4 linked regions of the Diceros bicornis minor genome follow. The protein of the gene in region 3 interacts with the protein of the main gene of each other region in a biochemical or structural test. Links are inferred from orthologs where the notes say so. Each region holds a gene or a part of one and is shown on either strand. Other genes may lie near its edges.

Region 1 (7,254 bases), about 23 Mb from region 3:
TACCTCAGCTGGTGACCTTGAGCAAAGCGCTTCAGTTCTGTGGTCTCAGTTTCTCTCCTGGGAAAACGGGACTAATAAAGTGGGGGAGGCAGGAGAACTGCCCAGTTAAAAGCAGTAGTTCTGGAGTTGACCTGCGTGTCTGAAACCCTGACTCCACTGCTCATGGGTTTCGTGACCTCAACCTCTCTGCACCTCGATTTCCTCATCTGTAAAGCAGGGGGAAGAACTGTTCTTTAGAGTGGTTGTGAATATTAGATGAAATGACCCGTGTAAAGCAGCCTGCCCCTGCTTGCCATGTTGTAAGCGCTCAGCAAACAAGAACTAGTACTGCTGTTATATATGCCTGAGCCACATGGCTGTTGAGGTTAAATGAAATAATGTATGAACATCATCTGGCATGTAATAAATGTTTGCTTTAAAATAAATGCCTGCCTTATGGGAATGGTTTGTGCAAGACATATGAGGAGAAACTCCCAAGAGCACACTCCTACTCAAAGAGTGCTTGGACATACATCAGAAGATAGAGGAGTAAATGTCCTTTTATATTTTAGGATAAAACAAAGATTAAACATAAATAAGTAAATAAATGTCATTTGGTTGTGTCTGGAAGAATGAGTCAGGACTGTCTTTAGAATCAGCCTTAAAAGGGCCTTCTGAGAACTGGACCAACCCTGCTGTTTTACAGATGAGAGGCCCAGCAAGATGCAGTGACTTGCTTACGGTCACACAGCAAGCTGGGGGTGAGTGTGGAGATTTCCTGCCCACAGTTTGTGGTAGGGGCTGCAGACACTGTGCTACAAATCCCCAGTCTTGGGTGGAGGACTGGGACTGACTGGGGGGGGGGGTAGGGTGTGGTGGGGGAGAGGTGGCGGGTGTTACAAAGGTGCTAACAGCCAGGCAGGAAGCGGACAATACACTAGGAAAGCGATATGGGGGGAGGGCTATGAAGGCACGGTTGTCCCTCCCTGGGCAAGGTTCAAGTCCACAGGTAATTGGGGTGGGGTTCTGAGCAGGAAGTCTCAGAGAAAGAAGGACTGGTTCTCATCTGGGGGAGGGGAGCAGGCAGCAACAGAAGCACTTGATTTTAGGCTTTCTGAGCCTCAGTGTCCTCATCTTTGAAATGGAGCTGATTGACCCATCTCATAGGGCAGTTGGGAGGTAGAATAAGAGATGTTAAAGCACTTGGCATGCACTGCACCTGACTCATAGTAGGCCCTCAAAAAAGGCCAGCTTTCTTCCTTCCAGTCTGAGGACCCAGAGAAGAATCATCATCTGTTAAACAAGAACTGACTGTGGGCAGAGGCTGGCTCCCAGCACAGAATTGCAGATGTCAGAAGACAAAGCTCCCATAGATACCATCTTGCCCAGCCCCCCACTGAGGCAGAGCGTAGAGAACAGACTTGCCCAAGGCCACACTGCATGGCTGCAGCAGGCCAGGATTCATCTGAGGCCTCCTGGTCCTCTTACACTCTGTGGCCTCTTTTCTGCTGGAAAATTTCTTTTACTGGGTTTGTTTTGGAGGGTGGTAGGGAAGAAGGAAACAGAAAGAAAGCCAATGTTCTCCCAGCCCAGCTCTGAGGCTGTGCCTGGCCAGCCATCTGGCCAAGGTGAAGGATACACATCCCTCATGGCTTCCAGGGTGGGCGCCCGCAGAATGTCTCGGATGCCAATGACATTCTCATGGTGAAAGCGCAGCAAGATCTGGATCTCCCGCAGCGTGCGCTGGCAGTAGGTCTGATGCTCGAAGGGGCTGATTTTCTTGATGGCCACTCGAGTCTTGCGCACGTGGTCGTAAGCTGAGCTGAGAGGGCCAGAGAGATGTTGTTGGTGTGGCCTTACAAAGGAGGAGTACAGGCCCGGTGGCCCCACCCAGGCCTTGGCAGGGAGAGAAGGGAGCAAGAGAGGGTTCTGGCCAAGTCATAAACAATGCTGGTTCCTTCCTGCTGTGAAGGCCTGGGATCTCCAGGGAGAAAGCTGGGGACCAGCCAGCCAGCCCTTCAGTGACTTCACAAACAGAGGAAGAGACTGACCGACCACTGGCTTCCCCTCTCCTCAACCATTTCCATTCTAGTTGCCCTGACCCGTTATCCTCCCCTGCCCAGGATGGGCTCCCTCATCCCAAGACAGGTCCAGGGGGTGGGAGATGAGTGGAGGACATACAGTGAGGCAAATACAGTGAGAAGGAGGGAGTCACAGGAGGCACTGGAGAAAAGGGATAAGGCAGGCCTGGGTGTCAGGGCGAGGGACCTGGGCAGCAGAGCTGTTCCCAGATGAACAAATGCCCAGAGCACACAGCAGGGCTGGGACAACTCCCAGAGCCCTCCTCGAAGCTGCAGGGAGGCACTCCGGGACTGCTCATTGCTCACTGGGCCCCTGGCCCCAGGCCCAAAGCCCTGCCCCACCCTGAGCCCCGCTCTTCTCTCCCAAACTCCTTGGCAGGCCTCACTGGGGGAACCAAGGCATCTTCTCCCCAAAGAAGGGTCCTTCACTCCTTCTTCACTAAGGATATTACCTCCCCAAGAATACTTACTCTCTTCGCCTCACCCCGTGTCTATAGGGTGCCCAAGGTCCCCACAGCTCCCGCACATATACGTACTCAGATGGCCCTCCTTCATTCTAGAATAGTGGGTTCAAAGCCCCCAGGCCCTCTCTCCTTCGAATACACTGCGCCCCCTCCCCCCGAAAGCACTCAGAAGCCATCGCCCCGGGACGCTCTCCAGCCCCCTGGAGCCCCTGCCTCTTCGGGACGCTCGGAGTCTCCACGGCCCAGAGAGCACTCAGCACCCCTCCCTGCCCCCTCCCGCGGGGCCCCCTCCCCCGGAACGCCCCCTCACCTGACCATGCCGTACGCGCCCTCGCCGATGTACTGCAGCTGCGTGTAGCGCGGGCCCACGTCGAACGGCTGCCCCTTCACTACCTCCACTTCCCCCGGGACCCCCGGGCCGACCCCATCAGCTCCCCGGGGCTCCCCGCCCCCGCCCCCCTGAGCCGCCGCCGCCGCCGCCATCTCCACTCCTCCCCTCCCGCCCGCCCGCCGCCCCCCCGGCGGCCCCGCCCGAGGCCCCGCCCCTTCCCGCCCGCCCTGTCACCGCGGAGCCGCGCGCGCCGGGCCCCGCCCCGCCCGCCCCCGCGCGCCCCCGCGCCCGTCACGTGGGCCCTGCGCGCCCGGCTTTCCCGCCGCTGGTGCTGTGGTTCATGGTACCCGGCGGCTCCGGCTCTTCCATTTAAGCTAGAAGCTCCCAGGGCCGCCTTGAGATTGTCCAGACCCTCCCCTAGAATGCAGAACAGCCAGTAGGGCCGCTGGGTGACCTTACCCAGAGCCACCCAGCAAGCGAGTGCTAGGACCGGGGCGCCTGGCCCCGCCCAAGGAGCAGCCCCGGGCTCGAGATGGAACCTTAAGGGAACCCTCACCTCTGATGCTCAGTGATCCTATCCGTATTTCACAGTAGCTGTGGGAGAGGGCTTCCTCACAGGTGTGGCCTGTGATGAGGAAGATGAGGCCCGAGCCGGCGCTGGTGACTTGGGAGTCACTCAGACAGCTGAGAGCTGGAGAACCCAGCCTAATGGCTTTCGGACAGAGACCTGCGGGAGTGCGCTAGGGACCTGGCCTCTGCCAGCAACCGAGCCGTGCATGTACCCCGGGAGTACCCCGAAGACAGATAACCCCACCCTACCTTTACATGGAAAGCGGGGGAGAGGCGAGAGAGCTGCATGCCAAGTTGACTGGCTTTGGTTAAAATACAGTATCAGGCTTTTCTCAAAAAGAGCAAAATAGGTTGTGGTTTTGTTGTGGTTAGATTTGACAAAACTGGAATCCTGTCAAGATCATCATCTTTTGATTCTGTACTAGACTTTATAGTTTACACAATACTTTGATCTTCAGTTTCTTCCTTAGGACAGCCCGTCAATATAGGTGTCCTCTGGTTTTCCTAGCTGGATGAGCAGGGCCCATGTCTGTTTTGTTCATTACTGTATCTTCCAGTGCCTGGCACCCAGACACTCAAAAATTTTGAATGAATCAAGTTTTATGGATGGGGAGTCAGAGTTGGGGACTCGAACTTGGGTAAGATCACTGTAATAATGACAGAGATGAGACTCAAAATGATATCTCCTGACACAGAGGCAGAGGGCTCTTTTTAATTCCATTGTCTCAGAATTATAGACTTTTAAAACTGAAGAAAGGGCCCTCAGAGACCATCCAGTCCATCCCCCTTACCTCACAGTGAAGATGTGAGCTGGAAGCTTCACAAAAACACATTTCCTAGGCTTCAGTAAGCAATCATGTTGTTTTTTTCTCCCTGAGAAGCTGGGAGTAGGTCCTTATAGACATTACAGATCAAGAGACAAAATGGAACAGTAATTATGATTCTGAAATTGCTCATAATTAGATCTATGGCCAGGCACTCTAATTCAGATTAATGAGACTGAGTTGCTGGTTCCCAATAGCCCATAAGTCAGTGAAGGTTGAAGAGGTGCTAATTAGATCAGTGTTGTTTTTTTTAGTTATTCATTTGGTAAGCTCCTGAATGGCACTGAGTGCAAAGCTCTGAGCTAGGCACTGTGGTTAATGAAAGATTACTATATAGTGTGAAATAATGGTTAACAGCAAGAGCTCTCTGGGCCAGATTGCCTGGGTTAGACTCCCATTTTTGCCGCTTACTTGCTGTGTTACCCTGGTCAGGTTACCCACTGGCCTCTCTACTCATGGAATTTCTAATCTATTGAAGAGAAAAGATGCACATACATAAATCAATTTCATACAAGATAGATGGATGTATTATATGGCATGTGAGCTCAGGGGTGGGTTAGATCACTCTAAAGAGTGAGGAGGGAGTAATGGAGGAGATGGATTTGTGTGGTTGAAAAAGAAGTAGGGTTTCAGAAGGTCAGGATAGAGGAAAGGCATCGAGAAGAAGGAACAGAATGAGCAGCAAGGAGACAGATTGAGGAAGGCCTTGGATTCTGGCGAGGAGTTTGGATGTTACTCAGTAAGCAGTACAAACCTTTGAGGGACTTTTGCCAGATCATTTTGCAACTGTGGCAGAGTATAGTGACTCAGAGAAAACACCCTGGAGTTCAGCATGGAGCCAGGTTTCCTGAGTGGGAGTGAGTTTCCCGGCATAGGAAAGGCTGGTGTATCCGGCGGGGTGCCTGCTGCCTCAGGCTGTAGCTGTCTCATCAAAGGAGTGTGACTGAGATTCCCCTCTAGTGGCTGAGATTGGTAATTCCATGGAGATTGGACTCGGATTTCCTAGTCCGCTTCATAGATTCATAAGCAACTAATGTAGACTGAACATCTGTTCTGTGCCAGGCGCTTTTATGTACTTTATCTCCTATCATCCTCGCAGCAGCTGTATGAAGTAGATACCATGAACATTTAACAGAAAACAACAACAAAAAAAGCAGAAGCTTGCTGCACTGTGGGGTTGGAAGGAGGTCTAGGAATCATTTTCTCCATCAGTTCATTACCTCACAGCTCACTGCATTGTTAGAGTTTTTCTGATGATAGAGTTTTTCCCATTTCTATTTGGCTTAGCTCCAGCCTCTGGATCTATCTAGACTAAGTTTTAAGCCAGTTCTTACCTGTGACGTCAAGTTCACAAGAGAGGCCAGTGGGTAATAACACAAGCGAGTAACAATTTGAAGGGTACAAATGAACATTCCCATTTCGACTAACTCAACTAGCCAGCAGAAACTGAGAAGGCAGCAAATGTGCAGGAATAGGGGTCAGAACATGTTTAATAATTTATTAAGATTTAAGCTGACCTTTTTTTAAAATCCAAAATACCTCTCTTACACGTTTCTCGTAACACTTCTTCATATGTTGGAGAAGAGCTCTGCGCAAACATCTCTCCTCTGGTGTAAGCATTCTTCAGCTGATCCCTCCTCTGAAATCTCTGTGGTTAGCTCTGCCTGCCCCCACTGGGCTCCTTCCCTGGGCTGTCCTTCTCACGCCTCTTTCTCTACAGCATCTCCCTTAGTCACTTCATCACATTCCTGTGGTGTCACCTTTTTCCTTTATGTAAAATCTCCATCCTTAGCCATTGCCTTTCTCCCTAGTTCCGGTTCCAAGGTTTCAGTGTTTGCTGGACAGCTTCACTTGGAGGCTAGCTGCTACATCAAATCAGCATGCCCGATGAAAGTCTTCCTTTTCATTCCCAAACCTGTTTCTCTTCCAGACTCGACTTGCTTCAGGACTGCCACCATTCTTGCAGGGTTGAACCCTGTTATTTTCTCATTTTTCCATTTCTCTCCAGATCTAGGCAACTTCTTGTCATCTTATTAACATATTTCCCAAACCCATCCCCTCTCCTATTCATCAAACCCAAATTTCATGTTTTTATTTTTTTTTTTACTTTTTAAATAATTTCAGAACTTACCAAAACGTTGCAGAAATAGTTCAAAGAATTTCTGTATGCCTTTCATCAACACCCCCTAAATGTTAACATTTTAAAGAAACACAGTACATTATTAAAATCAAGACAGTAACGTTAATAGAGTTAATCTATAGACCTTTTTCAAATTTTGCCTATTTTCCCATTAATCTCCATTTTCTGGTTCAGGATCCAATTCAAGGTCAATTGTTGCATTTAGTTGTTATGACTCCTTCATTTCCTTTGATCTAGTCTTTTTGTTGTTGTTTTTCATGACCTTGATACTTTTGAAGATTACCGGCCAGGTCAGTTATTTTATAGAAGGTTCCTCAGTTTGGGTTTGTCTGACGTTGCCTTGAGATTCCTCATCTCACTTTGCTATTGTATTATGCTATTACTATTGTACTGACTAGTCACCTTTCCTTCAGTCTTTTTCCTCCTCAGAGATGCCTAAAACAGCTCTGATGAGGTTTGTATTAAGCAGGAATCTTTCAGTAATGAGCGGTCAATGACGCAACTCAAACCAAGTTAAACCAGAAAGGAAATTTATTGGCTCACTTACTGAAAAGTTTAGAAGTAGATGTTAAGGCACACTTGGTTCCAGGGACTCAAACGATGTTATCAGGACTTTGGTCCCATCTCTGAGCTCTGCTTTCTTCTGAATTGGTTCCATTCTCAGGTGGTTCCTCTCATGGTGGCAAGATGGCTCACAGCAGTTCTAGATTCATGCCTGATTTTTTTCTGGTAACTCCATCAGGGAGTAAAGCTCATCTCTTCCTGTCTCTCTGTCTCCCTGTAACTGAAGCCCCAGATTTGACTCCCACTCATTATTGATTCTGTTTGGAGCCTGTGCAAATCCCTGAACCAATCAATGGGGGAC
Region 2 (7,877 bases), about 2.5 Mb from region 3:
TGGGAAACGTACCTCTGCCTCCCGAATCACTGACCACTAGGGCAAGCCTTCACACAGAGCCTCACCACGCCACCGCCTGTTGCCCACGCGCTGGGGCACATGTTAACTCATCTAATTAACCAGCCACGGACAACGTATGTTGATTTCCAGCTACAAAAGGGTAGGGATTTGGTGCCCCGCCCCGCCTGAGGTTTGCTGAACTGCGTCAGGACAGTCTGGCAGTAGCACATTAAACCAGCTTGGCCTTTTCTCCCTGCTGCCTTCTCTGGGGGCTTATGTGCACCCTCCCTCCAGGCTGCAGATGCAGCCATGAGCTGGGTGGGAAGTTCTAACAGACAACAGGCAGGCTGGTAACAGGTCAGGGCAAACAAAACCCTCCGAGTGGTGAAGTTCTAGACGGTGGTGCTTTTACACATCCGTCCCTATCTAGGCTGGTACATTAAGGGCCCAGGAGCTTCCCAGTGGGTTAGAGCTGGGATCTGGGACTAGCCTGTTCCATGCCCCTCGCACCCCCGGGGCTAGAAACAGACTCAAATCCATAGCCAGCCACAGGGATCAAAGGCCCTGGAGCCGCCCCACGTGGAGCAGAGTGTGACATAACCAACACCCCAGGAGGCCTGAGCTCTTTGAAGAGGACTTCAGATTTCTGCTGGAACGTGGCCACAGCAGACTGACTTTCAAAGACTTCAGTCTACTTACATTTTGGTGGTGAGGATGGATAATCGTCTTTGAAAAGCATCCGCAGTTTAAACAACCCTCCTTCCCATGGAGTCTGTTGGGAAATAAGACTGCGATTAAATGTGCTGCCGGCCAGGCCCAGGAGGAGGGGCTTGCTTTTGCTGCACACCCCCTAGGACCACGAGGACCCCAGAGAGAGGGGAGCAGCCCAACTGTTCCACAAACAGGACTGTCAGGACCTCCATGAGCCCTTAGACTGAGTCGGAAAGAGCTCTCCTTGGAGCGGGGCAGGGCAGCAGCCGGGCTTCTGAGAAGGCAGGGCCCCTGGCGGGCTGGCTCCTCCCACCCCGGGACAGGGTGAGGACTTGAGGGAACTCTACTGCGTACCCCTTCCCCTAGAGGGGCATTCTGAGAGGCCCCTCCCTCAGGTCCCACCTGTCCCTGGGCAGCCTCCCAGCGCCACCATCCACTACCCCTTTCCAACCTCCCCCAGGAGGGAGACGGCCGCAGCACACCTGCCTTGCCCTAAGATGAGGGGCCAGGAATGGTCTCGGCAAACGCTGGGTGCGTGCTGGGCGCTCAACAACCTCAGACGAAGGATAAACCCAAACCACGTCACCTCACGGACAAAGCCGAGTCCTAATCCACCGGCTTAGTGCAGGGGGTGGGGACACTATCAGGAAGCACTGAGGCTGAGCTCTCGTGATCTCACAACAGACCACGGGTGGGAGGAAATGGAGGTGATGACGCCTCCAGCATAACCCAGACACCTCGGGGGCCTCCTCCTCCGGAGTCACCCAGGCAGAACTATACGCAAGGTCATCAGAGACCCTCACTCCCAAATGCTTCAAGCGTGCGGGTCCTAACTGGGCCGGGTGCACTCAGGGGAGCCGAGGAGGCAGCCCCACAGGGAGGACTGGCCAGTGTGTGAAGGACATGCAGGGGCCCACGCAGCCCTCTCCAGTGGCTGATGCCTGGCCTCTGCATCACAGGATCTGCAGCTGCCCCAGGCTCAGAGACGCCCCAGAAGGAGCATCACTATGTCTGGGCAGCTGCAGCCCCAGCAGGTCCGGCAGGACAAGCCCGAAGGCCCTCGGGCTCCTCCAGACCAGTCTCCATCCCACCTCCAAGGCTCCTTCTGCTCCCGAGATGCAGCTGGTGGGGCACCTCCCCACACGTGAGGGGTTACATGTCACCCTACCCTCGTTCGTTCCCCATCTCACATCCCCCCGGGGCTCGCATGAGCATCAGGAATGTCACATGCACTCAAACACAAGTCCTTCTGAAGGACTTCTGTCCCTCTGTCCTGCTGCTAGAAGCCGACAAGTGGCAGAGGACATGAGCCACGGGCCTCTTACCCCTTTCTTTCCTGGAATGGCACACTCCCAGTTCATGAGGTTCATCGTGCCGTCGGGGTTTTTTGTCGGGACAGCCACAAAACCCTGGGAGAAAACACCACACAAGCACATCAGCCACGCCGCCTCACTCTACGCGCACACGGACAAGCCTGCGGCCCCACCGCCTGCCAGCGCGGAGGCAACGGCCCCCGTCCGGGAGGCCCCTTCGGGCAGGCCCCGTCCACTGCGTTGCACACAGAAATAAAGCTTTCCTTACAAATGGGTGGTCTTTTCTCCAAGCTTTCCTCTCTTGGGCGAGTCTGCTGAGGGCGATCCCCGACATATTCAAAGTCCCTGGAAGAGATGGGCAGAGGGTGCGATTAGGAAAGGCAAACCTGCTTCCCTGTCTCTTCACCTGACAACTGGCCCCACCCGCCCCCGGCAGCCAGGGAAGCAGCAGCTGGCCGCTCCCAAGACCCAGGCCTCCTGGAACACCTCCATGTGGGGCACCTTCCCTGTGTACATCTCACCTCCAGGGCTCCACGGCACACGCCGTGGACTCCATTTCATGGTGACACAGAGGTTCAGAGAGGTGAAGCCACACAGCTGCTAGGTGCTGCGGGGGAGGGGACACTGGGCACTCCCAACAGACACCTGCACACCTGTCCTGCCCTCTTCAGTCACATGCGGCAGTGGGCCAGAGTAACAGGGATTACAATTCCACCATCAGACTCCGCAGAAACAGCAGGGACAAGGTAGGGGTGTCCAGAGCACTAGCCCGAGACCCAGGAGGGGCAGTGATGGCGTGCTCGCCTCTGCCTGTACAGGGATGTGGGGGCGCTGTCAGGCCCCCAGCTCAGAATCAGGGGCTCAGAATTCAGATTTGGGCGCAGCCAGGAGAATAACCCTTATTCTTGAAAGGCAATGCAGCGGAAATGTGCCAGTGGGGCAGAGAGCAGTTCAACTGAGTTATGGACAAGTACAGAGATGGCACACCTGCCCACCAGCATCCAAGAGACTCCCCTTGTCACCAGGGCCCCAGGCTCCTTCCTCTTCTCCCTCCACTCTCACATCCTACAGCCCCACCTAGGACCTGCTGGCGCCCCACAAACAACGAACAGATCAAGGCCTGTCTCCCATTTACTTTGGGGAAGTCAACGCAAGGGGGAGCCAGCTAGCAGGGAGCACAAGGCGGAAGGGGAGACACCTCAGCAGGCAGGCCCACCCGCCCCCGCCAGTGCACCGTGTGGAGGGGGCTCCCCCCATCACGCCCCGAGCCCCTCGACTACAGACCCTGGAGGCTCAGCGCCTTCAGCCGTTCAAATCAGCAGCCCAGAAGCCCTCAGCCTGCACTGTCTCATGCTTCCCGCAGGTAAAGCAGCATCTCAGGGCGCTGGATAGCCAGCAAGGCACAGCAGACCTTCAGAGGTCACAAAGCTTGCCCAAGAACCTGACCCTGTGTTTGCTGATCTCCCAAGTCCGTGGAAACATTGAAGACACCCGCTGCATCGCCCCCTGCCCCCGACTCCCCCTCCTGTGATTACTCATGCGGCCTCCCCACTGCGGCGCAGGCTGACCCACAACTGCCTCAGCAATCCAAATCGCACCATTCTCCCCGCCATCCCCCACCTGGCTGCCCGGCCCTGGGCCCCAGACAACTCAAACAGCCCCTGTTTGTGCAGGAGGGGTCAAGTCAACAGGTCAGCAGCAGGCCAGACGGGCCACGCCTTGCTACCCTGCAGTACAGCCCCTTCTGAGTGTGGCCCTGGGCGGGGGCATCACCTGGATGCTTGTAAGAAATGCACATGCCCGATGCCCCCCCCACCCCGAGTCAGGAACTCGGGGCTGCCAGCGCTCTGGGTTCTGGGCAGCTCCCGAGAAGTCAGCAAAGTGGAAGGAGGGGGTCTGGGATCGCCATTGCCGTGCCACCCAGGAGCCCAAGTCTCAGGAAGTGGGGCGAGTTACCACAAACCGCCAGACCAACCAGACGTGGTGCGCTTTCAAGAAACATGCATGCTTATGTCATCATAAGGAAAAGTGACGGTCAAAAATCAAAGCCCTCCAGTCAGGAAGCACAGCTGCCGGGGCCACACGTGACAGACGCACCCACTGGGGGCACGGCCTCCAGCTCCACACTGTGACCCCACAACGCGCCTTTACAAAGACTCTGATCTTACCTGACCTCAAGATTAAGTATGAAATAGATAACATCAAGCTTGCACCCAATAGAATTTCTCTTCACCGCCACTCGATCCCAGGGTTCTAGTCTGCCCACCTCCCATGCGGTATGTGACTGGGCTGCCCAAAGCTCACGCCCACCCGGGGTCTCCTTCCCTGGACAGCACGTCTCCATCTGGAATAGTCACTCCTTCCCGCTACGTAAAATCGGGGCCAGCAGCTGAGAACAAGACGCGCATTGCTGCCCTGGGGGCTCACACAAGAGGAAGTCTTGTCCTGGGAAACACCAGGTGCCCGAGGTCCACAGCAGGACCACAGGGATGGGGAGGCACGCACCCTGGTTTCAAATGGTGGCCAGGTAGGCTACTCAAGCCCAGCCTGCAGAGATCAGGCAGGAGACTGTTCCAGGCAGGATGGTCAGGAACAGAAGGGCCCCGTGGGCCAGAGGCAGGGCCAGGGGGTTCAGGACGCCTGGACATTGACCGTGAGGGCCTGGTGAGCCACTGTGAGGACCTGGGCTTGCACAGGGAGGTGGGGAGCTTGCAAGGACCGGGGCAGAGGAGAGCGCCAGCTAGCTCCTGTCTTTAAGGCTCTCTCTGGGCAGAAGTGCGCAGTGATGACTAGCCGCGAGGCCAGGAGGCTGGGGCAGTAACCTGGATGTCTGAAAATCCTTCATTTCCACAAGTTTCTCAAACCCTTCACTTCAACTGGTTCTTCTAAATGAAATGACCCAACTCCACCCCCATCCCCAGCTTGAGAGCACAGCACACACTAGCCTCCAAAGTCCTCCAGTCCCCTGCCCCCAGCCTCCCCCACCGAAAGGGCACACACAGAATGGCCTCTCACCCCCAGCCAGGGTAAAGCAGACAGCACAGGCTGGCAGGCTGCTTCTGCTGCATTAATGAACACAGAAGTTCAGTAACCAAGACAAGCAGTTGTCGAAATGAGATGTAAGGACCCCCCCGCCCCCCAGTCTGAGCTGGGCTGGCATCACCAAGACGGGTTCTGTCAGCAGGACAAAGAGCCACAGGTGCACACCTGCACAGTCCCAGGCAGAGGACTGGTCCCAAGATGCTTCCACTCCCACTCACCTCCTGGTGTACAGGAGACAGCAGACAATTTGTTACATTTTAATTACAATACAGAACAACTCATTCAGAATCCCACTTGAAATGGAAACTCCTTCCCCAACTAACAGAGGCACTTAAGAAGCAGTTGAGTGTTCCTAGATGCTTCAGAGCAGCAAAGTTATAAGATACAAAGATAAGACATCCCCTAACTACTAGAGTTCTTCAGGCAGAGCACTGGAGTCTGCCCTCCACCTTCCTCCAGGGCCTGGCAGAGGGGTGTACTTGAACTTGCTCTTGTCAGATCATGCTCTACTAACTGACAGAACGGACCTCAGAGCTACTTACTGCATGAATATGGCAAGGTGCTCATCTTCCCCAGCCTCAACTTTCTCATCTGTAAAACGGGTGCTAGACTATGACCTCACAGGTTTGCCCAGGGTGACACTGATAATGGATTTCACGCTCCAGCCGGGCCTTTCCCACCCAAATGCAAACTCCGCAAGGGAGATTCCAGCAGAAGGCTTTCACTTCACCTGGCCCCAAGCACCTCGCACTCAGGAGACCTCCCGTCCAAGCTGCACATCTCTTGTTCTTTCCCAACATAATTCCCAGGACCCTGGGCTGTTTCTGAAGCAAAGTCACAAACCACAAGACTCACCGGGCAAAAGCACAACAGCATGCAGAATTCACCCCTAAACCACCCAAAAGGCGGAAAACAAATCAGGACAAACTTAGGATCCATGTCCTTTTTCTGTCGGATAGGTTCTCAACCCAAAGGCTGTGTTTCCTCAATAGCAAGAAACATTTATGGCCACAGTCTTTAAAAGGAAACAAACAAAAAGCCAACTTTGCAAACACAGTAACAATATCTTCCCAAACTGAGAAACAAAGCATATTTTCAAATTATACAAACCGAACCGGCTAATACTGTGATTCCGGGGCGACTACAGGCCGCGATCGCGAGCCCAGCTAATCATCCCCTTCCTCCCTCCTACTCACGTAACTACCAGTTCCAACCTCCGCTCAATCGGTACAAAGCAACCTCCGAAAGAAAACTCTCCCTGAAGCGAAGCGCCCATGTTCAGTGTCCCACCAACTGCAGGTGGAGCTCTTTAGAGGCGCAAGAAAACTCAGGCTTGTTTTGATTTTCAGACATCAAACCCCCACCCCCCCACGAGCCAGCGATTTTGCAACCCAAGACTTTCAAGTACCGGGGCCGCGCGCTGTCCCCTGGCTGCAGAGCGCCACAGGTCTGCGCGCAGTCCCGTGACCCCGGAAAACAGTCTCCCCGTGGAGGCTCCGCGGCGCGGTAGCCGCCCTCCAGCCCAGCGCCTGTCAACAGCGGCCGCGGCGCTCTGCGCTCCGGGACGCGACCGGGAGCCCCTCGGGGCCGCCGCCCAGCACGCGCTCTCCCGCCTTCAAAAGGGAAAGTGATGGGAATCCGGGGACGGGACGCGAGCCAGGCCAGGCGCGGGGGGACGCGGTCCGCCGAGGCCGCAGGCTCGGGCCTCCCTGCTCCGGCCGGCCGACTCCCGGGCGCGGCGCCGCGGGCCTGCCGGGCGGGGCGGGGCGGGGGTCCAGGCGCGCGGCGACGGCGAGTCGGGGCCGCAAGGCCGGGGGCGGAGGGGGCGCCCTCCCGGCTGGGCCCGACGGCAGCAGAGGGCCCGTGCCCGCCTGCCGCCGCCGCCCCCCGGCCGTGCTCACCTCGGGCGGCCGCGGCCCGGCAAGCGAGGCGGACGAGGCGACAGCGGCGGCGCTCCCTTTGTCTCGGGACTTCCCTCCCGAGCCCGCTCCGCGCGCAGCCCGAGCGCTCCGAGGACCCCGCGCGGGCGGGGCGCGGGCGGGGCCTACGGGGGCTGCCCGCTGTGCGCCTGCCCCGCGCGCCGCCGCCGCCGCCCCGAGCCCCCGCGCTGCCCGCCCCGCTGCGCGCCGCCCGCTGCCCGCGCCCCGCCGCAGCGCGCCCGCGCCCCGGGCTCCGCCGGGGAGCCCGGCCCGGGGAAGGCTTTCCAGTCAGGCGGCGCCCCAGACACCTGCTCCCTTAAAGGAGCCGCGTCCCCGATGTGAGGGAGTGTCTGCAAACTCCCCTTCGTGACGCGCGCGTCCACTCGAGGACACGCCGGCGAGCCGCGCGGGAAAGGGAAGGCCGAGATCCCCAAGGGCTCCCCGGATGCCCCGCGGGCACCTCTCCGGGCACGGGGCCCGGGGATCTCCTGGGGGCTAGGGCCCAGGGCCGGGGTGCAAAGACCACTGAGGCCTAAGGACCCTCCGCAGCGTCGCAGGACGGTGACGATCCCCCGAGTACGACGCCCTGTGAAACCCCTTGCAATTGGCTAGTTCGGGGCCCTGGGCGGGGCGTCCGTCGAATTCGCCCAATGAGCTGACCCCGCACAGAAGGCCGAGTGCCGGCCCGACCGACGGGAGGAGAAGTGTGGACGCTCCCTAACCCGGGGCTGGCCGGGGGGGAGGGGCGCCGGGGTTGAGGGCGGGGGAGGGGAGCTGGGATGGGGGTGGGCTGCCGGGACCCCCTGCCCCCGCAGTCAGGACCTGCGATCCACCCCGAGCCCGTGTGCGGACGCTGCCCCTTCCCGGCCTCCTCCGGCACCTTCCCGTCGGG
Region 3 (7,151 bases):
AGTGACCTCTCCCATCTGTCATAGGTGGCAATGGCATTTATCACTTGGAGATGCCACCTTGTCTCACTGGAGTATTTTATGCACATCCACACTCCCCCAGCCAGCTAGACTGCAAGTGCCCTGTAGGCAGCACCCTGGCTGGTAAGCTCCCCAACGTCAGGTTCTCCTCTCCGCCCACTACCAGCCTCCCTAGCCTCATCTAAATGACACCCATGGCTCCACAGGCCAGTCCCCACAGATGTGTACCGCATAGTGGCAGTCCAAGTCACTCTTGTTTATCAGGCCAGCAAGGCCTCCTCCTCCTCACCCCTCAGCTCTTCCCATGCACGGAGCTCCCCTCCCTCAAATTTTATCACATGAGCAGGGAACACACCTTGTGCCACCTGGCCCAATTTTCTCCTCGAAGCCTCAAACACACATTCCCTCAGTAAAACAAAGCTGAGTCTCTTAAGAACTTTATTCCCAGGTCTTTCCTTACCTTCCCATACAACCAAATGCCTTCACTCCTTTGACTGTATGAAATTTAATCCTTTAGTTCTTTATTTGCTTAATATACACGCTTAAGATCTCTGTCTTAGACTAGTAGTTACGTGAGACAAGGCTGTACCTTATTTAATGTGCTCGACCATGATCCTTTCTTTGCTAACAGACCTAACAGACACTAACAGACCCTTTCACAATAACCCTCTCATGTTGTTGATGAACATGTAATCAAGTACGGGACATAAATATGATCGTGAATTTTATTCTTTGGATTATTTAAATCAGAACTATTAAAAACTGACTTTTCTGTTCCACATTTGGAAAAGTAAAAGAGCCCCCATGCCTTACGAGGGTTAAAATCGTAAAGGAAGGGAAAAAAATGGTCAAGGGTGGAAAATCCTTTCTGATAAACTTGGTTGCGATTAGCAGCACATTAAGTAAATATCTGACCATCCAATAACAGAACTACCCAAAGGCCATCCTTTGGGCTCCATCTTGGAAACAGTTGGATATACAGCTGGACAAGCCTTTGCGTTAAGTCTGTGTTACTAATTTGTCCCTCTTTCAAAAGCTACAGTAACCTCACTCAACAAGAGCAAACTGCAAAGCCATTCAAAAGTGACCAGTTCAGAGGACAGGTTTCAAAGCTGAACTTGCCTGGTATGATCTATGTTTCATTTGATTAAAGACTTTTCACTCAAACATGGCAAGATTAACGAAGCAATGGAGATCTGTTCTGCAGTAAGAGGACATTTACATCATGGTTGTTTCCATATTTCTCACTTCAGATAAGTTGATTTTACCAAATTAACAAACTCAACTCCATTAGTTTTCAAAAAAAGAGTATTAGTGACTTTCATATATCATGAGCTTTATTTACTCCTCCCCCGTTTAACAAACTTTATTTTAACTAGACAAGAATCTCTTTATGATCGATTTGTAAAAAAAAAAGTTTCTCTCACTTCTACATTAATATTCAAGGAACTGTATTAAAACTTAAGTCAAAAAATTCAAGTTTTGTTTCAACAGTAGAAACATTTTTAGACTACTCATAGGAGTACGCTAGTGGTCAGTCATACAAATATTTGCACGAGCTGAACAGCTGTGTCTACTACAAATCTGAAGGCACTGCTGCAGGAATATAATTCAATTTGGGCCCATTCATTAAATTTTCAGATGCTGCTACTACAAGACTGTACTGAAGAAATGCAAGCTGCGCTGGAGACCGAATTGTTCGCAGCAGCGCACAAGTTTTTACTGCAAAGGAGAGCTCTAAAAGAGGAAATACAACTTGTTCATAATGCTACCATGAACCAGCCCAGAAGAAGCCAGAATTACTAAATGAATAGAAAACTAAAATATTTCTCTTAGGCAACTGATATGATTACCTAAGAAAGTTTTCAGGGAAACTGTTTAATGAAGAAAAGGATGACATTCACTATCCTGCTAAATTTTTTTTTGAAAACTCGTAATCACTACATTCCTTAACATAATTTTTTGTACACCTACACTGTAAAAGCAACAGGAGCTCAAACGGCGACTGCAACCCAAACGAATCTATTTAACTTTCTTTTCAAGTTATACACGTGAAATTACACACACTACAGCCACTCTTATGACATCTTGCTAACAAAGTTTGGGGTGGTGAAAAATGGCATGACTTAGGTGACCAAACAACAAGAGCCTTTCAATTAGCTACTAAGCATTTTTCCAAGGAGAACATTCCAAGAAACTTCTAAGTCGTAACTCACAGGCGGGCTGCTGCTCTGAGTGTCTTCTGGCCGCCGCGTAGTGGATGTGTTACCAATTCAGAAAACCCTTCGGGTCCCCTTTCGGCTGCACTTTCTGTCTCTAACCATCAAACGTACCCTCCGCTGTCATCCCTCCAGACGCCCGGCCACGCGTGTGTCGACACACGGCGGCAGAAGGAGGCGGATGGAATCGCCACGCTCCACTTTACTTTTCTCCCTGCAAGTACCACTCGGTCTCCCCGCGAGGCTCTCCAAGAAATCCGAGTGCACCGGGCATGTGCCGCCCCACTCGGGCCCCACGACAGTCTCCCCGCAAACTTCCCCCTCTCAGGCGGGGGTCCCGGGAAGGGGCTGCGCCGGCCTCCGCTTCGGGGGTTCCGCACGCCCGCCGCCGAGTTCGGGTCTCCGCAGGCACTCCCCTCCCGGGGGGCCGACAGCGACCCCCGGGGCCCCTGCCCCCCGCCCGGCCTCCTCCTCACCTGTGCTGTCATTCGCCGAGAAGCCGGGCGAGCTGAGTTTGGCTCGTTTGGGGTTGGGCGGTCCGTCCAGCAAGTTCTCGGCCATTTTCACCTGCTCGCGAAAACAGCCCCGAGCGCGGGCGGCGGGGCCGGCGAGGCTCCGGGGCGGGGGTCGGCGCCGGCCCCGGCCGGCTGCGAGGGGAGAGCAGCGAGCGCGAGCCTGGAGCCGCGAGCCGCGAGCCAGCGAGCGCCGAGGGAGAGGGAGGGCGCAGGGCCGGGTGGGGGAGGCGGCGGCCAAATCTCAGCCACAGCAACAGCGCCCCGCAGCGCTCACCGCCCGCCCCCGGCCGCCGCCGCCGCCGCCGCCGCCGGCCGCGGCCCCCTCATCCCCTGCCCGCCTCCCGAGCGCGACACTCCGCGGCGGGGGCGCCCTGGCGGCCCGGCCGCCGCCCCGGGCCCGGCTGGCAGCGACGGCGCCCGGCCGGGCGGCTCAGGCAGTTCCCGGGAACATGGTGCCGCCGCCGCGCCGCCGCCTCGCTCCCCCCCCGCGCCCCACTTAATTAATTCGCTCGCGGCCCGACGACCCGGGGGCTCCGGGCTCCGCTCCCCGCCCGCGGCCCGCCGCCGCCGCCGCCGCCGCCGCCGCGAGGAAAAACAATGCGCGAAGCGGGGGCGCCGCCGCCGCGGCCCCCCCACCCCCCGTTCCGCCGCCGCCGCTGCCGCCGCCGCCGCCGCCGCCGCCGCCGCGGCTCCGGGAGGCCGAGCCGAGAGGCGAGCGGGGCCGCCGGAGCGGGCGCCGAGGGCCGGGCGGAGCGGGCCGGCCGGGCGGAGCGGGGTGCGCGGGCGGTTGTGGGGCCCGGGACCGGCGGGGCCGAGTAGATCGCGCTCGAAGCCCCGGTCGGGTCCGCGACAAGATGGCGGCTGTTGATTCCTCAATTAAAAAAAAAAGAAAGTTTTTTTTCTTCTCTTTCCAGAGCCTGAACGGGGAGGGGGAGGGGGCGGGGCACGCCGGTGCGTCACCCCCCCGCGGCGTCACCACGCACGGCCCCCGCCCCGCCCCCTCCACCTGCGCCGGCCGCGGCGGAAAGAGCCGAGCGCGCTCGGGCGGAAAGGGCCGAAGGCGCGACCGCTGTGCGTGGGGCGGCCGGGCGGTAGCCCGGCCTGCGAGACCCTGAGCGCCCAACCCGGCCGTCACTTTTGTTCTGACGGCGACTGGGCTGCGGGGCCCGGCGAGGGCCATGGGCGGCGGCCTGGCCGGGGGCCGGGCTCCAGGCGCGGAGTCGGTGCCGGCTGGGCCCCCCCGTCCCTCGGGGGCGACTCTGCCCGGTCCCAGCTCCTCATGTCCCTGCTAGCGACGTCGGAGGCGACCCGGGCCCGGCCTGGCCACTTCCCCTCGCCGGAGGCCAGCGACGTGTCGTGTCCTCTGCAGGTCACAGACCGCCCTCGGGTCCGCCTGCGAGCGTGTGGAGATGGGGAAACTGAGGCAGGAAGTGGCAGGGCCGGGATTCGAATACTCCCCCTCAAGTGAAGTGTAGGGGACGCAGGACTCCTGAGCCCCTGTTCACCAGCCCCATGCGATGGGGCCCCCAGGCCCGACACCCTCTCCTGCAAGGGGAAGGGGCGAGCGCTGCCCCCCGGGCTGGGGCGCGGTCACCTGCGCCGGGCCTAGAGGGCCCCTTACGTCAGCGCGGAGGGCCTCGCTGGCCTGCGCGCGCTCCTGCTCCGCCCCCCGCAGGTGCCCCAGACAGGTGTGGGTCCCGGGGAGATCGGCTCGCATGGCCACTCCCCGCAAGACGGTTCCACAAAACTCTAAGATGTTCACATCTCAGCTTGTTATCTGCTCCTCAAAGCGTGCCGGAGCTTCATCCCTAAGTCCTTATCTGAAAGGTATCACCAGCAACCCGGTTCCTAAGCAAGAAACCTGTACGGGAGTGCGGACTCCTCCCTCCCTCCATCACCTCGCACCCAGGCTCCCCACGTCCTCTACCTGGGAAACGGCCCTTCCTCCCCATCCCACTACACCCGAGTCGTCCGGCATCGCCCGGGTGGCTACGGTGGCAGCTTCCAACTTCAGTGTCCCTTGCGCTCCACGTTTCTCCCCATGCAGCACCAGAGTTAACTTCCTGGAAAAAGAGAGAAAGAACTCTGTTTAAAACAAATAGCTCCTACACATGGGGAAAAAAAGACTATATATATATAGTCTGTTTAAAAAAAAAAACCATATGTATAGTCTGTTTATATACCAAAAGAGTGATTGTCTTCAAGTGTCAAGACTGAGTGATCTTTCTACTTTTTTGTATTTATCTATATTGTTCAAAATCTTGTACTGCCCACCCCTCCTTCCCAGCATCTGTCTCTTCCACTTTCCATCCCTCACTCCACCATCACTCCTCCACAACCACTCAGCCACTGGGAAGTTCTTATCATTCAGGCCTTTTTATGCTTTTGCAAATGCTGTTCCCTGTACTGAGAATACATATGCCTGGAAAACTCTGACTCATCCTCCAGGACCCAGTTCAAATGTCACCTACTGCAGGAAGCCCTCCTAGCCCACTTCAGGACTCCCACAGCATTCTGGACAGACCTCTGTGAGGGCACACCTCACACTTTGTCACTTTTTTTTCAATCCATTCATGTTTTTATTTATCCATCAAATATCCCTTGAGAATCTCCTGAGGGCAAAGAATAAAGAAAGAAATCCCTGTATATTCAAGGAGGCCAAATGGCAAGCCCTGGAAATCATAAACAGAAGTATTCAAGAAGCCAGTTTGCACAGGAAGGCGGGAAATGTATCAAGTCATAGAGTAACACAGGGCTGGCAGCACCTTGTATCTGAATGTGCCGTGTGTGTCCCTGTCACCACCAGTCTGTGGGCCCCTTGAGGGCAAGGGCCATATCTTAGACATAGTACAGTGCCCCTCAAGAAGTAGGTTTGGGGCCAGCCTGTTGGCGCAAGCAGTTGGGAGCGCAAGTGGTTGGGAGCGCACGCTCCACTTCCGCTGCCTGGGGTTCACAGGTTCGGATCCCGGGCGCGCACCAACGCACCACTTGTCGGGCCATGCTGTGGCGGCGTCCCATATAAAGTAGAGGAAGATGGGCACAGATGTTAGCTCAGGGCCAATCTTCCTCAAGAAAAAAGGGGAAGATTGGCATCGGATGTTAGCTCAGGGCTAGTCCTCCTCACAACAAAAAAAGAAGTAGGTTTGTAAAATTTGATGAATCAATGAGTGAATGAACAATGTCAGGTCTCCCTAAGTCCTAGAGGCCTCCAGGTCACTGAGAAGGGTGAGTTCCAGCCTAAGGCAGCTCCATGCCACTCCCACAGAGAGGACGATGTGTCAGGTCACCGAAGCCTGCCTTGGGTCACCACCTGGCCCTCGGGGTCCCTCGGTAAATGGTTTACACAGCCATGTGCACATGAGCTCACACCATCCCCCATCAGTGGGCAGCTATGGCACATGTCATGTCCACTTTTACAAAGGGAGAAACTGAGGAGACCCAGTCCCAATGACTCAGAGGTAAATGACCTGGACATGTCAGGGCCAGGCCTGAAACACAGGTCTACAAACTCGAAACCTCATGTTCTTCCTGCTCAACCCTAAAACATACCTGCTCTGCTGTCCCTTTTCTGTCTCATTTGTATCATTTTGATCAGTTCTGCTGGTATTTCCTGATATCTGCTTTTTCTTTCCTGTTTCTTCTCCCCTTGGTGTGACTCTCATCCAAGAACGCTGTGCTCAGACATTGATGGGGGAATAGCAAGAAAGGAAGGATGATTCCTGCCCGCACACTCTTAGCTGAGGATCAGGGTCAAAACAGATGAAAGGGACCTGGCACTGTTGAGTGCCTTCTGTGTGCCAGGACACTCTGCCACACTTGGATCTGCATTTCCCACAATCCTGGAAGGAAATATTGTCCTCATTTTATAGATGAGGAAATGAGGCCCAGAGGAGGGCAAGTCGCTCAGTCACTAAGAGGCTCACCTGGGTTGCAAACCTAAGGCTGCCTGCTCTTTCTAGTCTCTAGTCTCAGATCAATGAATCCCCATTTACAGAATGCTCGGGGGCCGAGAGAATGAGGCGAGGAGGGACCAGCAGAGGAGCAAGAGGTGGAGATAAATCAGGAAAGATTTCCTGAGAGAAGTCCATTTGAATCCATCAGCTGATGAATGGATAGACGTGTTATATCCACACAATGGAATATTATTCAGCCATACAAGGAATGAAGTACATGCTATGACATGGATGAACCTTAAAAATGTGATGCTCACTGAAGGAAAACAGCCATCCAAGACCACATATTGTGTGATTCCATTTCTAGAAAATGTCCAGAAGAGGCAAATCCACAGAGACAGAAACCAGATGAGTGGTTGCCGGGGCGGGAGGGGTGACGGGGGTGGAGATAGTGGATGGTAGCCAAAGGATATAGGGTTTCTATTTGGGGTGATGAGATGTTCTAA
Region 4 (6,669 bases), on a different chromosome or scaffold from region 3:
AATAGAACTTTGTTTTCTTCTGAGGCTCCTCTTCTTACTTCTAGGTAGTATGTGCTCCTTCCAGTGGCTTTGGGGAGGGGGTGGGAGAGAGGTCTGGGGTCAGGGAGTCTTCGAGGCCCCCGCTGAGGGGACTGTGAATCTACCATTGAACCGTGCACGGGGTACATGGACGAAATGAGACGCGACACGGACAAGAGTATTTTGCTCTGCTTCCAGAAAACATCAAGTGAGTTCGGTCCTCAGTTCTCACGGGGAGTCTGATCGGGCGGAGGCGGGTTCCGCGGGGATGGAGGGGGTGAGCCGGGTGCTGGGTGGGCTCAGGCGCACCGCCTCCCAGCCCCCAGCGAGAGCTCTGCGGGCGGGGGCGTCCAGGAGAGCGCTGGGCCCCGCCTGACATGCGCTGGAGAGCAGGTCCCCGGGCTCCCCCACCCGCAGAGCCTTCTCCGGGCTCTCCGATGCCCTCGGCTCCCCACAGGCCTCTCCCTTTCGCGTCCCCCCTCCCTTTCCAGCGCCTTCACTCGGCTGGTTTTTCTTCCTCCTCCTCGGCACTGAGCTGAGATGCGCTGAGCAGTTTGCTCTCCTTTTTCCACTTCATGCGCCGGTTCTGGAACCAGATCTTGATCTGCCGCTCAGTCAGGCACAGGGCGTGCGCGATCTCGATGCGCCGCCGCCGCGTCAGGTAGCGATTGTAGTGAAACTCTTTCTCCAGCTCCAGCGTCTGGTAGCGCGTGTAGGTCTGGCGGCCACGCCGGCCGCTGGGCCCAAAGGAGGAACCTGTTACGCAGAGAGGAGATGCTGAGGCCTGGGGTCACCAGGGCCAGAGCCCCCCACCCCCACTCAACCCTCAAACACGGACGCTAGCCTGTCTCGGGATGCCCTCCACTGTCTGGTTCCCTGCCCCCCGTCCTCACTCCTCCAGCGCCCCCTCCAGATTCCCTCCGGGTCTCCTAGGCCTGCGCATCCAGTCTAGACTCTCGATGGGGGGATGGGAGGAGCAGTTTAAAATCCCACCTGAGCCTGGGGGAGGGGCTGGGGAAGTACTGGCCAGGTGTGTCTCTTCCTAGCCGCATCCTTTTTTCCCATCCATCTGGCTCCCCCACTACCCTGTGATAGATTCCGGCCCTTAATCCGTAATGACGTGGATCGATCCGTAGTCGGCATTAACGGCTCTTCACTTTGGTGTCCCTCTAATGGACATCAATTTGGGACTTAAGGCCGACAAATAATCCAACTTGAGACTCAGGCGCCTGCTGCTTCCTCTCTCCCCCTCCGCCTGCTCCCTCTCTCTTTCTTCCCCTTATTCTGCCTCCCTCCTCTGACTACCACCCTTTTCCTGGTGCCTCATCTTTCCCCAGCCCCCGACCCCCAGGGAAACACAGTCCGGGACAGACTCAACTCTCTCTCGCCAGCGTCACGCCGCCCCCTTCCCATGAAGCACTCCGGTTTTAATGGAACAGTCTTTGGGTGGGGGACCCGACTAGGGCTGGGGGCGCAAGGGAAAGCCAAGCCCGTGACGGCAGCCCCTGCCCCCTTCCCTGACCCGGAATCCCGCTCTGGTCTGACGCTCCCAGAGAGCCCACTCGCTCCCCCTGGCTCCGAGTGCAGCTGGGACTTTGCAAACTTTGTAACTCCTGAAGGCGAGAGGACAGAGCAGGAGACCCTGTGCAGGCACCCAGTCTTCGCTTGGCTCCTAACTGAGATGCCCACCCAGCACCCTGGGGGAGAAGGGGGGCGGGGGACATCCCTAGCCCTGTCTCCCGGAGGTGGAGACCCGCGGGGGTCTGGGCGACGGCGGGAAGTCTCACTCACTGTTGCACGAATTCATCCGCTGCATCCACGGGTAGACCGGAGTGGAGCACTTCTGCTCCTCGGTCTCGCCGAACACGCTCTTGTCCTGCGCACAGTCGGACTTCCGCGGCTCGGGGTGGAACGGGGGCGGCTCGTCGGCGCCTGAGAGCGCGCAGGCCGACTCCTTCTCGCGGTAGAAGGCCGGCGCCGGCCCGTAGTCGCAGGGCGCCGCTCGGCCGTAGCCGCCGCCAGCCGGCGGGTAATAGGAGGAAGCGGCAAAGCCCTTGTCCTGGCCGGGCCCGGGCCCGTAGGGCGCAGGGTAGTGCCTCAGCGGGTCCGCATAGCCCGACGAGTAGAGCGGTAGCTGGCCCAGGAAGGACTCCTGCCCGCTGGCCAGAGTGACGGGGAAGGTGGAGTTCACGAAATAGGAACTCATTGGGAGGGGAGGCGCGCACGGCCGCTGCTGCTCCGCCGGGTTTATGATTTGTTGTGTTTTATAGTCCGAGCGCCGCGCCTATTAGTAGTATATCTGAGATTGGGTTTTAGCTGAGGGGGGATGGCGAGGTGCCAGTGAGGGCCAGAAGGAAATACAACCATCTGATCCAACACTGACCAATGGCAGAGGCAGGAATTGTCAAATAGCACCCAGGAGGAGCGCAGCCCGCACGAGGGACCCGCGCACAAACCTATCAACCTTTTTTTTCCTCCTTCTTCTCCTTCTCCTTTCTCTCTCTCCCCAACAACACGACGCTTCCTGTTCCACCTACGTAGGATCTGCGAAAGAGGCGTCTGTGCCTTTGAGGGAGGAGGAAGCATTTGGATGGAGACCACCCCATCCCCCAGTGATTAAATAAATATATCCCTCCCCTCCCCACGCAGGATAGGAAAAAGTTAATTGTGTTTTCAGAAAAGTTAACCCCTGCGTTGCTTGAGCCCCATTCCCTCAAGGGAAGGGTGAGTAAATGTCACCGAATCTCGAATCTCAGTCTCATTAAGAGAGGACTAAAGGAGAAGGTTTATTTCTCCGGTTTTGTGTTGGTAGAGGGAAGAAGAGTTCTCCGCTAATTGGCATCGTTTTCAGAAAGAGAAAGCCAAAGAAGAAACACTCTTTCTCAGGTTTTGAAAACCGTTTTTCTTGATTGTCAGACCTGCTCTGTCTCCTCCAAGCCGGGGTTTATTATTCCTGCTTCTCCACAACTCTTAGGGTCTGAGGGGCAGGCCAGAGCCTGCTGCCCAGAGGACCCAAGGCCGGGAAATGGAAAGAAGGTCTGAGCCCCAGCTTCTCCCTCTGGCTCTGCAGCTAGGCTAGGAGCTTCCTGGAAGACTAAGGCTGCCGCTGCCCGAGACACCCTGCCTGGCTCTAGTATGTACCGCTTGCTCCTGGCACGGGAAGGGGCACTGGGGAAAGGGACTAACTGTCTCCTCACTGGGGGATATGGAAAGGAGGAGTGAGGGGCATCCCCCAGCCTAGGTTTGTCTCATCCCTATCCTGTCTGCAACCCCCACTCGACCCCTGCCTCCTACCCCAAAAGACATGAGTATCCTGGGCTACAGATTCACAGAAATCAAGGTTGTCTCAGTAAGTGGGTCCAGGGAAGAAATTGTTCCTCCAATTTGGGGTCCTCAAACCCTCCTGATATTTGAGGCAATGAGAGACCACCGAAAAGAGAGGTGTTCGCACTCCTTTTCCAGATCTCTCCAGAAGCTGGCAGTTTTTAGAATTAATTTTCCACGATTTGATGTTGGTTTAGTCTTATAAGGAGGGAGGGATGTTTGGGTCCTCCTGGGGACTCAGCAGGCAGCATCCCCTATCAGCCTGCATCCCCTCTCCAGATGCTCACCACCCTTCTGGCTGTCTCTCAGCATCTCTACAATCCCTCCCACACCCCTTGTTTGTATCACCAGCTTTGCTTCGGTACAAGCTTGGGTGTGAGAGTGTATGTCTCTGGAGCTCTCTCTCCAGCACTCACTCTCTCTCATCTAAGGAAATGGAGTATTGAAGCCTGGCTGGAAGACTGACCTACAATGTGTATTCAACATTCTCATATGCACGTTGAGGCCAGGCAGTAAAGAGTGACAACCTTCGGACTTGGAGCCAGGAATGGTCCAGGGTGTGGGACAAAGTCTGATGATGAAAGGGTTAGGCTGACTCTCTGTCTTTGGGCTCCTTTTTGTGGGCCACCTCTGTCCACTGAACACAGCACAAGACACTAGGGAAAGTGGTGGAGAGCTGAGACTGGTGACCAAGGGTGGAAACTTGCAAAGTGGCCTACAAGGCTCGCTGAACTCAGGACAACTTCTAGGCTGCAACTTCATGGCCAGGTGGCGATCCCTGGATATCCCATCGACCGCTTCCTAGCCTGATTCTATGGGGGGTTTTAATCAAGATTTAGGAAAATAAACCTCGAGACTCCTAATGATGGAAAATCATAAATGCTCCAATCTAACAGATTGGGCTCACTCCTAGAGAGGAATGGGGAATATTTGGGCAGGGGAGTAAGGTGGGGAGAGTGCCTATGTGCACCTCCCTTCTCTCTGCCACTGAGGATGAGCCTCGGGCCTCAGCCCTCCTTGCCTCCTCCCTGGCCACAGTGTCCCCATCCTAGGACTGGACCCTGTGGGCTTTGCTGTGGAGTCTAGATGAAGTAAGATGCGGTGAGGGAGGGAGCCTTCCTCTGTGATAGAAGCACAAAAATACTCACCTTATCCTTAGAGTCACCACACCAAATTAACCTCACCTCTGCAGGTTGCCTGTCTTAAGACAGAGCCGAAAAGGCAGGGCCTGGGCGCCTGGAGTCCGGCATGAAAGGAAATAGCGCCTCATCGCTCTTATCTAAGCCCAGAGGTATTTATGAGCGTTTATTCGTCTGATCCGTTTGTTTGGGAGAAAGAGCAAGCAGGCGGGGCCCGGACAGAGGCCGCCTGGTTTCTGGAGCCAGATCTCTACGAATCTGTCTGTGGTTCGGTCCACTGCCGTCTGTCTGTCTCCAGGGGGGAATATGTAAATACACAGCAGGCACAGCCGTCTGTCGGTCTGGGGGCTCTCTCCCTGCCTCAATGAGGAAGTGTGTATGGAGAGGTGGATATAAATGTGTGCTGAGTCTTGAGTACACAAGAGAAGGATTGTACAGAAACCCCACAGGCAGGATTTATAATTGTAATTTTCTGTACTTCGGGTCTGCGGTCCTGTGATGTACACACATCGCAGCTCCCAGGGAAATGTCCAAGTTGTATCAGCTCAGGAGTGGAACTCTCCTGTTCGGCTAACCTCAAGGAGGGATCTCTCCCTGTATGTTTATGGAGGGGAGAGGGATTGAGACATTTTCCAGGCGTCCCATTTCCTCCCAGCTACAAAGCTCCCCCCACCCCCAGCTCTTTGGGTTAAGGGCAACTTCCCCTTCCTCACTCCCAACTCTGGCTGGGGTGGGGCAAATTAAAACATCTCAACCTAATTCTTCGCCTGGACTCTGTGATTCTCTGGGTTTGGGGAACATAATATTCCCAGAGGGAGCAGTGTGGCTGCTCCCAACCTTTGGGAGCTGTTTAGGTGGGACATTGGCTTGAAATTGTCCGGTCCAAAGCTCCTCACAAAGACCTCATTTCCATTATGCAAATGAATGGCATAGTCTCTGATCTTGAGGGGGGAGTGGCCGGTGGCGCGGCTTCCTCTCCCGGTTCCCTCCCCCAGGTCCACGGGCACCCTAAGAGCCCTGAAGTATTTCAACCCTTTCTACCAGCCGCCTTCCCCTCCCTACCTGTCCTTCGGATTGACCACAAGAAAAAAATCTCCGAGGGGCCCAAGACTTTCGGGGCGCGCTCCCTGGGGACCTCCCGCACTGGGCCGGGCTTTCAAGCCGCCAGAAAGTCACTCTCGCTGCCGAAAAGCTGAAAGGGCTGCTTCTGCGGCCCAGACTCAGGAGGCGCCGAAGGCTCGGGGGCAGACGCCGCCGCATTTGCCCCCAGCACCGCCGGGCCCCTCGACCTCCGCAGCTCCTCCAGCTCCGGGCCAGATCCTAGTAACACCTCGGCTTGCCTGGCACCGCAGGCAATTTCCTGGAGCCCCCGCCCAGGAACCGGGGCCACAGCACCTTGAAAAGAGCGGCCAGAGCTTCCTCCTGTGGCTTGAAAGCCCGAGCTAATCAGTAACCCGTGAGACAGGGGCCAATATTCAAACGCCGCGGCAGAGGCGCGCACCCCGCCCTCGCCACCCCCTTCTGGGAAAGCGGTCGGGTTAAGCTGGTGTGAGGGGTCCGGCAGGAACTGAAATAACAATGGTTTGGTTTCCTAATGATTGATCTCCACTCCTACTCCCAATTTTTTCCCAAAGCATATTTGTGTCGATTTTGCTTGAAACGATCGGGAATGGGGGGTGGGATCCACACTCACTTGCAGACACCCACAGTTTCCAGAAAGCTCGGCTCGATTCCTTCATCGCGGACTCACCGGCCAAGGAACTGGCAAGACCCACCAGCCAACCCGGAGAACACAGACCCGGTTTGTCTTTTGACAACCGAGTGGAACTGCTGAGGCCGGCGCCTCCCCTACTGGCCCCCTCCCATGGCCGAGAAGAAAACCAAATAAACCTTGAACAGCCTTGGCCTCGGATCTCCCCAGCGGTCCGGATGATCCTCTCTCGCGCCTGGGGTGCGGGGGAGGAAGGGCTCACGGCTCTGATCCCCCATCCCTTTGATTCAGGGCCCCCTGCCCGCGGGATGCAGTGTTAGTCCTCTTTAAATACGCCCTGGAAAAAGCCGCTTCCTCAGCCAGCCGCCAGGTTGGGAGCAGGGATGAGGAGGCCGAGGGAGAGGGGACACTTGTTCTCTAATCCACACACGGGCGGTCGGGAACCAAGATCCAGCGGAAAGCGACCATCTGGGCCTG

The links.
Region 1: of the proteins of CREBBP (region 3) and MAPK3, one has a biochemical effect on the other in vitro, tested with the Homo sapiens proteins (2 studies listed by BioGRID). The link is inferred for Diceros bicornis minor from reciprocal best matches to the Homo sapiens genes CREBBP and MAPK3.
Region 2: the proteins of CREBBP (region 3) and UBE2I form a complex in vitro, tested with the Homo sapiens proteins (2 studies listed by BioGRID, with this or other methods). The link is inferred for Diceros bicornis minor from reciprocal best matches to the Homo sapiens genes CREBBP and UBE2I.
Region 4: the proteins of CREBBP (region 3) and HOXB6 form a complex in vitro, tested with the Homo sapiens proteins (2 studies listed by BioGRID). The link is inferred for Diceros bicornis minor from reciprocal best matches to the Homo sapiens genes CREBBP and HOXB6.

Annotation. Positions count from the first base shown.
Region 1 is NC_080765.1:21,907,656-21,914,909, forward strand, and holds the start of MAPK3 (mitogen-activated protein kinase 3), read right to left. Parts: upstream 3,008-7,254; coding exon 2,835-3,007; intron 1,802-2,834; coding exon 1,619-1,801; intron 1-1,618.
Region 2 is NC_080765.1:47,066,420-47,074,296, forward strand, and holds the start of UBE2I (SUMO-conjugating enzyme UBC9), read right to left. Parts: upstream 3,010-7,877; 5' UTR 2,586-3,009; coding exon 2,546-2,585; intron 2,370-2,545; coding exon 2,293-2,369; intron 2,121-2,292; coding exon 2,037-2,120; intron 773-2,036; coding exon 700-772; intron 1-699. UniProt on the Homo sapiens protein: Accepts the ubiquitin-like proteins SUMO1, SUMO2, SUMO3, SUMO4 and SUMO1P1/SUMO5 from the UBLE1A-UBLE1B E1 complex and catalyzes their covalent attachment to other proteins with the help of an E3 ligase such as RANBP2, CBX4 and ZNF451.
Region 3 is NC_080765.1:44,566,363-44,573,513, reverse strand, and holds the start of CREBBP (CREB-binding protein), read right to left. Parts: upstream 3,014-7,151; 5' UTR 2,799-3,013; coding exon 2,714-2,798; intron 1-2,713. UniProt on the Homo sapiens protein: Acetylates histones, giving a specific tag for transcriptional activation. Mediates acetylation of histone H3 at 'Lys-18' and 'Lys-27' (H3K18ac and H3K27ac, respectively).
Region 4 is NC_080757.1:37,377,595-37,384,263, reverse strand, and holds HOXB6 (homeobox protein Hox-B6), read right to left. Parts: upstream 2,225-6,669; coding exon 1,810-2,224; intron 775-1,809; coding exon 515-774; downstream 1-514. UniProt on the Homo sapiens protein: Sequence-specific transcription factor which is part of a developmental regulatory system that provides cells with specific positional identities on the anterior-posterior axis.